Linked DNA regions of Coturnix japonica. Each later gene encodes a partner of the first gene's protein in a complex. Links are inferred from orthologs where the notes say so. Each region holds a gene or a part of one and is shown on either strand. Other genes may lie near its edges. The genes, in order: DRC1 and EFCAB2.

Region 1 (4,311 bases):
AGACATCACCACCAAAGGTCGGTCATAGCTGGTAAGAAGATAGAGTGGAAGGTGAAACATCTGCAATAGGCCACTCCTGCTGCTGAGGGCCAAGGAACCTGCTCTGGAGAAGACTTGCTTCCCTTTAGGAAAACAATCCCCTTCTTGTCCTGGACCAACTGACACTGCATGCATCCCAGCCATGTGCTGGGGCCTCGGTGGGCCAGGGGGATGGCTGTTGCTTTAGAACAGCACCCTCCAAAGCTTGAAAACTCCAGTCCTCCCTGGTTACCTCCGCATGGCTCCCACACTACCTGCTGCAGTTCACCAATGAGCTTGTTCTTCTCATCCAGAAGCTGCGTGCACAGCTGCTGCTGTTGGTTCAGCAGCTGCCACAGATCCTGAGGGATTGTCATATCTTTGGCCAAGGCCCACTTCGAGGTGATCTCCTCAAACTTTTCAGCACTGTACTTGGCTACATTCTCCAGCTTCTCCACCCTGTGGGCAGTAGAAGAAGGTAAACCATCGCAGGGCAACAAGTGGTTCAGTGGCCTACACCACATACAAAGCCACAGGAACATTCTCCTGAATAACTTAGCTTGAAAAGTGGCATCAAGATGAGGCAGCAGGTGGGAGGTGACACAACTCCCAGCTACACAGCCCAACCCTGGAGAATCAAAGGGAGTGCTTTCCCTTTGTCACATGCAGCTGGACTGAGTTTCTCCCACACACATTCCACCACTGCCTCTCTGAAACCTTCCTTATGGGCTGTTTATGGGCTTAAAATATCCAGATCCTTATAGATAGGCTTAATAGAAAATATTCTGAGCAAGGAACTGATGCCTTGCTCCAGCCAGCCTCCCACAAACTGTTCCTACAGTGCCCTCCAAAGGCAATTAAGAGAAAGGACTCGGTGTTCCTCAACTGATCTGTGCAGGCAAGGCTGAAACAGCCAGACCCTTAGAGATCCCTCTGGTGGGGCAGGACAGGTTACCCAAGGCAGCCATAGAGAGACTGGAGAATAACTGAGGCTGGAAGAGCCTCAGAAAAACACTGGGTCCTGGTTAATGTAGGATTAACCAGGCAGAGCAGATGGTGCAGGGCCTCATTCAGGCAAGTGCTGAGTTGGAATATCCCTACATCACGATGGGCCCCCGAGCAAGCATCTAACCACCCTCACCATGAAGACATTTATATCCACTTCCTCACATCAGCACAGCCTCACATTTTTCTCAGTCCTCATACACAACTGCCTGGTGTGGGTGGCCCTGCACCTACTCATGCTATAGCTAATAACTACACTCACTGCTAAAAACACTCTGTAAAGATCCACCTGTGGCAGGTTGGACCTGGGAGCTCTTGGTGTCCTTTGGCAATTAACTGCAGTGCAACCCTAACTTTTAAGTGTATGTGGATGCTCAGAGTTAGGATGCTTTGCATGTAATGCAGCCATCTCGGGATGTGCTCAGAGAGCTGCACAAACATCTGCGTCTCTCCTTTCCAGCAGAGCAAACCCACACCACAGTCTCTTACCTCTGTTTCTTCAGCTCTGCCTGTTCTGCTCTCCTCTGTGTTTCCCTCAAGTCAGTAGCCACCTGGATTTCTGTCACCATCCGTATGCCTTCAAAGAGCAGCTTGGCCAACTTCTGTGAAGGAGATGATACACATACCTGTAAACTTCAACTCTGGAGGGAGAGATACTGGAGCTGCTCTCATGCTGTCAAGGCTCCAGATCATATCCCCACACTGTGAAACCTATGTAGACCCATAAGCTCCATCTTCTCATGTTCTAGCAGGGTTTGAGGAGCACTGGGAAGACCTCAGTGCACCCATGAATCCTCCTTCACTTGGAGAGCCCTGAAGGCCAGCAGCACAAAGAGGAACTGGCCCGTGCTCAGTGCACATTTCTGTTTTGCTTCCCCTATATTTGGACAGTGGGATATGAGTCTGGATGCACAGCTCCTATCTCAGAACCCTCCAATCCATGGGCATTTTGCTACAGGGAAATCTTGTCTTCAATCTATAGCCCATGAGTCTCCTCCCACTTGGTCCTACAGAGCTTCTGCCACTGTGTCCTTTCTCATACAGGCTGCTGGGTGACACTGAGTACTGCATGAAGCCAAATGCCTGCAGCTTAGGGATCCAAGAGGACCTTCCTGTCTTACTGTCATACCTGCCGGATTTCCTCCACCTCCTTGTGGCTGTTTCTCTCCTCTTCCACATCCTCATCCTCCTCCTTTGGTTCCTCATCTTCTCCAAGCTCTTGCCTGGGCAGCAAAGGGAAAAAAGACAGAATCATTTGCACTTCTATCTCCCTAAAGTTGCGAGATAACCTTGCAAAGCTTGTGACTCCATCCCAGCATAGAGAGAATGATTCAGCAGCCTCAATGTGCCCCGAGAAGTGCAGAAAAGAAGAGGAACTCATCCAAGAATGGTGGATTCCAGCACCATTGGCCATTCCCATTGGGATGGGGGACAGGCCTGGCCTTCATACAGTGCTGATGGGATGGGGGACAGGCCTGGCCTTCATACAGTGCTGATGGGATGGGGGACAGGCCTGGCCCATGGGGGTGTGGGTACAAGGCAGCAAAGGCAGCAAGGGCCTGGATAGGGGACAGAAGGGATCAGGCATAAGATTAGGCCTCGCAATGGCCGCCCCCTCTTCTCACCGCCGTTGGGCCTCGAGGCGGGCGGCGATGCGGAGACGGCGAGCGGCGATCCGCTCCTCGGGGCCAGGTTCGGTCGGATCCGGTTCCGAGTCCGGGTTCGGGTCCGTTTCAGGGGCCGATACCGGCTCCTTCCACCTCGACCCCGCCGATCGCTCACCCCCTTCGCGGCTCATATGCGAAAACGCGTTGCCTGGCGACGCAACTACTGCGCACGCGTAGTGGCACGGCGCTGCTGTTTTGCCTAGCAACAAGGATGCGGCGCATGCGCAGTAGCTGCGCATCCCCATAGAGACCCCATAGATCCCCATAGAGACCCCATAGACCCCATAGACCCCATAGAGACCCCATAGACCCCATAGAACCCCACAGAGACCCCATAGACCCCATAGACCCCATAGAGACCGCATAGACCCCATAGATCCCCCATAGACCCCATAGACCCCATAGATCCCCATAGAGACCGCATAGACCCCATAGATCCCCATAGAGACCGCATAGACCCCATAGATCCCCATAGATCAGACCCCAAAGATCAGTTGCCCATGGCCCGTCCAACCTGGCCTTGAACACCCAAGGACGGGCATCCACAACCTCCTGGGCAGCCTGTTCCAGGCCTAACCACTCTCCTAGTGAAGAACTTCCCCCTAACATCCAACCTAAATCTTCCCTCTTTTAACTTAAAACCATTTCCCCGTGTCCTGCTATTGTCAGCCCTTTCCAAGAGTTTACTCCCCTCCTGGCAGTAAGTTCCCTTCAGGTACTGAAAAGGCTGCAATGAGGTCACCCCGCAACCTTCTCTTCTCCAGGCTGAACAAACCCAACTCCTCAGCCTGTCCTCATGGGGAGGTGCTCAGCCCCCTGATCATCTTCCTGTCCCTCCTCTGGCCCCTTTCCAAATCTCCATGTCTTTTTGTACTGAGGCTCCACACCTGGACAAGTACTCCAAATGGGCCTCACAAGAGAAGATAGAGAGGGACGATCACCTCCCTATCCCTGCTGACCACCCTCTCCTGATGGAGCCCAGGATCCCATTTTGCTTTCCGGGCTGCCAGAGCGCACTGCTGGCTCATGTTGAGTCTCTCATCCATCCATCCCCCAGGTCCTTCTCAGCTGAGCTGCTCTCAAGGACCACTCCTCCCAGCCTGTACAGGTGCCTGGGGTTCTTCCGGCCCAAGTGCAAAACCTTGCACTTTGCCGTGTTGAACCTCATATAGGTTCACCCGAGCCCAGCTTTCCAGCCTGTCAAGGTCCTCTGCTGAGCATCTGTTCCCTCCACCGTATCGACGCGCACCACTCGACTTGGTGTCGTCAGCAAACTTGCTGAGGGTGCACTCCATTCCCTCATCGATGTTCATTAATAAAGATGTTGAAGAGCACCGGCCCAAGACAGACCCTTGGGGGACACGCCGTTACCTTTGAGGCCTCCACCTGAATAGATCCATTGACCACACCCTCTGTCTGCGGCTTTCAACCATTGCTTATCCATCTAGTTGTCCACCATCAAATCCACTTCCCTCCAATTTGGAGATGAGGATGTGGTGGGGACCATGTCAAAGGCCTTGCTCAGTCCAGGTAAATGACATTGTCGCCTTCTCTTCGTCACCAACGCCGTCACTCCATCATAGAAGGCCACAAATTAGTTAAGCAGACCTTTCCCCTGGTG
Region 2 (3,814 bases), about 65 Mb from region 1:
CTTATTAAAAATACGCTTTAACAAACTGCTTCTCAGCAACTGCAACTCAGATAAAGTAATGGCTGGGACCTTGTTTGTACATAAAATATTTTCAGAGTTGAAATAGCAAAATAATTCTGATTCACACTAAAAATACAATAGCTAGACATTACCACAATTCATTATTATAAGCTGATATTATTTGTACCAATAGTACAATGCAATTTTATGTAGACTACATCATTTTGAACTAAAATCTCCCTACCTACCTTAAATTTTTTAAAAATCTGTGTTCCTTCAAGTTACATAAAATTACTGCAGATACAATCATTCAGAATCAACCATGCAAAAAATTAAAGACCCAGTTTACATTACCTTCTGTTGAGTAATACTTTTGTCATCACTGGAAGAAATTTTCCTAGATTAATATATCCAGTTGGTTCTTCTTCTTCTACCTAAAAATAAGACTTAAGCATGGTAAGTTATATGAATCATTAGCAAACTAACAGAAGAATCAGAAAATTGAGGTAAGTCCTGCAATAAAATTACAGATTTAGACTTCAAGTGAAGTTTTCAATATGAAATTTTTTAATGTTACATGGCACCAGAACATATGCCTGAAATGCTTATGTTCAAATAGAAAGAAATTAAAGGAAGAAATAATCTCCCAGACAAAACACATGCCTGCTACTTCAGAAACTTACAACAACTCAATATTGCCCTCTTGTGCTTAGAAACCAATTGTGCAAAAGAACTGGACACTAACTCAGCAGAGGTTGAAAAATGCAGACTGCAGTTATATTAGTGGAGGTGGGTATGACCTGAAGCACCCCTAGGTTGTGCAACATAATCATCCATCACAACACACTATCAGCACATTCCCCAGTGTGGTTTTGGCCTGTGCCATCAAACCTTTTACCCAACAGCTACCAGGTCCAGTTTGGGCATTGGGACTGTAGAAACTTCTCCCCAGCAGCCATTTTGTACAGCCACCCAATATAAAACATTAACCAGCATATGCATAGGCTGCTCTGTGACAGCTGGCTTCAATATCCAAGGACATGTTTAATTTGCTAATTTGGACACAGCCCCGGCCTAGTACTTCTCAAGGATGGAATCTGTTGCCACCACATGTTTTGTAGCCAGTGAGGGTTCATGAAGAGAAGGTCCAGAGAAGCAGACAGACGAAGTCAGGGCAGTCTCAAACAGTCATAAGGCAGTCCATATATTACTGCCTCTCAAATAAATTAACAGATTAGTCCCCAAACATCACAGACTTCTAGTAGCATTCACATAGCATTCCTACATGATAAAAGACTGCTCCCTACAACTTGGATGCATCTCTTCCCTAAAAGTTGAAACTTTTATCCCCAAACAGAGCTCTTAATGGAGATAGTTTGCTCCTGTCTGTGTTGACACTGAATGCTTGAACTGTTGTCTCACAGTCACATCCTGCCAGAACCATCATAGACACAGCTCTAGAAGCATCCATTCCTATAAGTTATACTACTTTTCAAAAACAATGTGAATTCTTTTTCCCACTTCTTTGCCCCATGCAATAATCCCACCCTGCCACGGCACCATCACTCCTGCCTTTCCATTACAAGTATGTGTTGAGGAGATAAAAATTACAGCATGGGAAAAAACTGTACAGAAAGACAGTAGAACTTCCTTACCTCTCCACATCACTGGGAGGACATCTAAGTCCTGGGAGTCTTTATGTTTGAATTCTGACTTGCAGGCTTAAGTAACCAAGCAAGAAAAGATTACTTAACTGAGAAATCTCAAGACTGGGATAGGCCTCGGAAGGACAGAAAATTGAGCAGGCTGGCTCTAAGATGTAGTGGTAACAGAATCTATTGGAAAAAAACTGCCATGTCTTTTCTCTGCATATTTTTGGATTTTTATGTATAATTTTAATACCTGTTCAAGGATAAGTTTTGTTATTTAGTCATCCAGTGTTTGTCTATGGCATGTCCAGAGCAGCTAGATGTCTAGGGTTTGGGTGTCCAATCTAATTGCAGTTTAGGGAAATCTTTTTCATCAGTCAAAAACATTTTATCCCTCCATTTTCTACAGACAGTCCTCCACCATGGCTGTGTCACAGTGGCCTTTTGTGGTAAATGACAGTCAGACTCCCCATTTTAAGCCATCGGTGTTGTTCCCTCAACAGCATAAAGGTTTGTTTCATGGCAACTTGAGAGACTGCCTAGCTCACTTCCCTGACACAACGTCTTTTCACCTGCAGGAAAAGAACTTAGCTTTCTCATATAGCAAGGCAGAAGGGTCAAACTTGTACAAGTTCAAGACAGAAGATAATAGAAAATACGTAAATCCTTTACCTCTGCAAGCAGTTTACGTAGCTCTGCCTCAGTTGGGAAGCAACCTAAAGATCTCACAAGTGCACCAATCTCTCTGAAAGAAAGTAAAACAACTGTGTCACTGATTCTGCAATACAAGAGTGGCTGCAGAGAACATAACCATCAGTTCAGAGCTCGCATATAGGAGCATGCATGTATACAGATATGTTATTATGTATAAGTATACATATACCCCATATACTAATGTAAAAGTACCCCACCTGCATAAGTATATCTATATAGACTTTTAAGGTAATTACTCAGTAAGCAATGCCTACTTTTACAGACATCAAATATCTTGAAGCTTTTTGAAGAGTATAATTGTACCTGTGGGTTTCCCAAGAATTCCCTATTGCTCGTGTCCATTACTGAGTGCAAGTTAATTTTCAATTGATTTCCTGTAGTTATTAGGCTTAACTGCAATAAAGTCTACATTTACATAGTTAAAAAAAACACCTTGAAATCTATTGATGTGAAAGGTGACAAAAATATAGGTTTGTTTTAAATGCAATAAAGATACAAATTCTAACTGCAGAAGACAACAAATACAAAAGTGAGGTGGCCCTGCCGCATTCTTCCTGCCAGATGGATAATTCTATTTTCCTCCTGACTATAATTTAGTTCAGCAGCTTCAGTTTCTGCTGTGTAGTGTCCAGCATACAAACATGACAGTTCAAATTAGCTCCTGTTCGTATACATTTTGTAAGTCAGACACAATGACAACTGTGTCACGGTTTTCATCTTAGATAAGATATTCTCAGTGACAACATTTGCAAAATCATGGACATCACTGACATAGGATATATTCTAAGCAGGGGATTCTATGAAACACTATCTTCCTCAGGCTTAATTTCTTACTAATTCTTGTATTTGCATTACAAGTTACCCAGCACTCATGTTATCCTATTAAGCCAGTGTAGCTTTCTGTATCCTTCGCATTTATCTGTTATTTCAGGAAACAACACTCATGCTTCTACAATCATGGCTAAGAATTGTGCTGTGCTGCCACCTTCTGATATAAGATAACCAGACGTTAATAGTCATATTACTGTGACACAGCCCTGCAACACAAACGCAGGACAATAAACAAGGCAATAAATTGTTTTTCACTATTGTAACTGTTCTTTGATTAAAATTAGTTGTAAAACAGTTCATTTACAGTGTTACATAGACTTTGAATGCCCTTTCTCACATGTTATAACTTACTGGCTGAATGAAAACATTAAAAAGACAGTTCTATTTGTATCATTTAATTGTTGTAACGTTCTTCTCAAGCTCTATATCCATCGCAGAACTTAGTGAAGAGATAGAAACTTTACATCTATGCAGACAAGACTGCAGATGTAAACAACAAACAAACAAACAAGTATGGCATGGTACAGTGAAGGTCAGGGGTTCCTCAGTGCCACCAAACCAGCCAGGAACAGGCAGCTCAGGGGATAGCAGGGCAGCCCCAGCTCTGGGCACTGATCATC

The links.
Region 2: DRC1 (region 1) and EFCAB2 share a complex: the UniProt entries of both Homo sapiens proteins name them as parts of the nexin-dynein regulatory complex. The link is inferred for Coturnix japonica from reciprocal best matches to the Homo sapiens genes DRC1 and DRC8.

The regions. Positions count from the first base shown.
Region 1 is NC_029518.1:96,153,723-96,158,033, reverse strand, and holds the start of DRC1 (dynein regulatory complex protein 1), read right to left. Parts: upstream 2,866-4,311; 5' UTR 2,822-2,865; coding exon 2,649-2,821; intron 2,247-2,648; coding exon 2,153-2,246; intron 1,626-2,152; coding exon 1,513-1,625; intron 478-1,512; coding exon 294-477; intron 1-293. UniProt on the Homo sapiens protein: Component of the nexin-dynein regulatory complex (N-DRC) a key regulator of ciliary/flagellar motility which maintains the alignment and integrity of the distal axoneme and regulates microtubule sliding in motile axonemes.
Region 2 is NC_029518.1:31,162,096-31,165,909, forward strand, and holds part of EFCAB2 (dynein regulatory complex protein 8), read right to left. Parts: intron 2,395-3,814; coding exon 2,322-2,394; intron 435-2,321; coding exon 355-434; intron 1-354. UniProt on the Homo sapiens protein: Component of the nexin-dynein regulatory complex (N-DRC), a key regulator of ciliary/flagellar motility which maintains the alignment and integrity of the distal axoneme and regulates microtubule sliding in motile axonemes.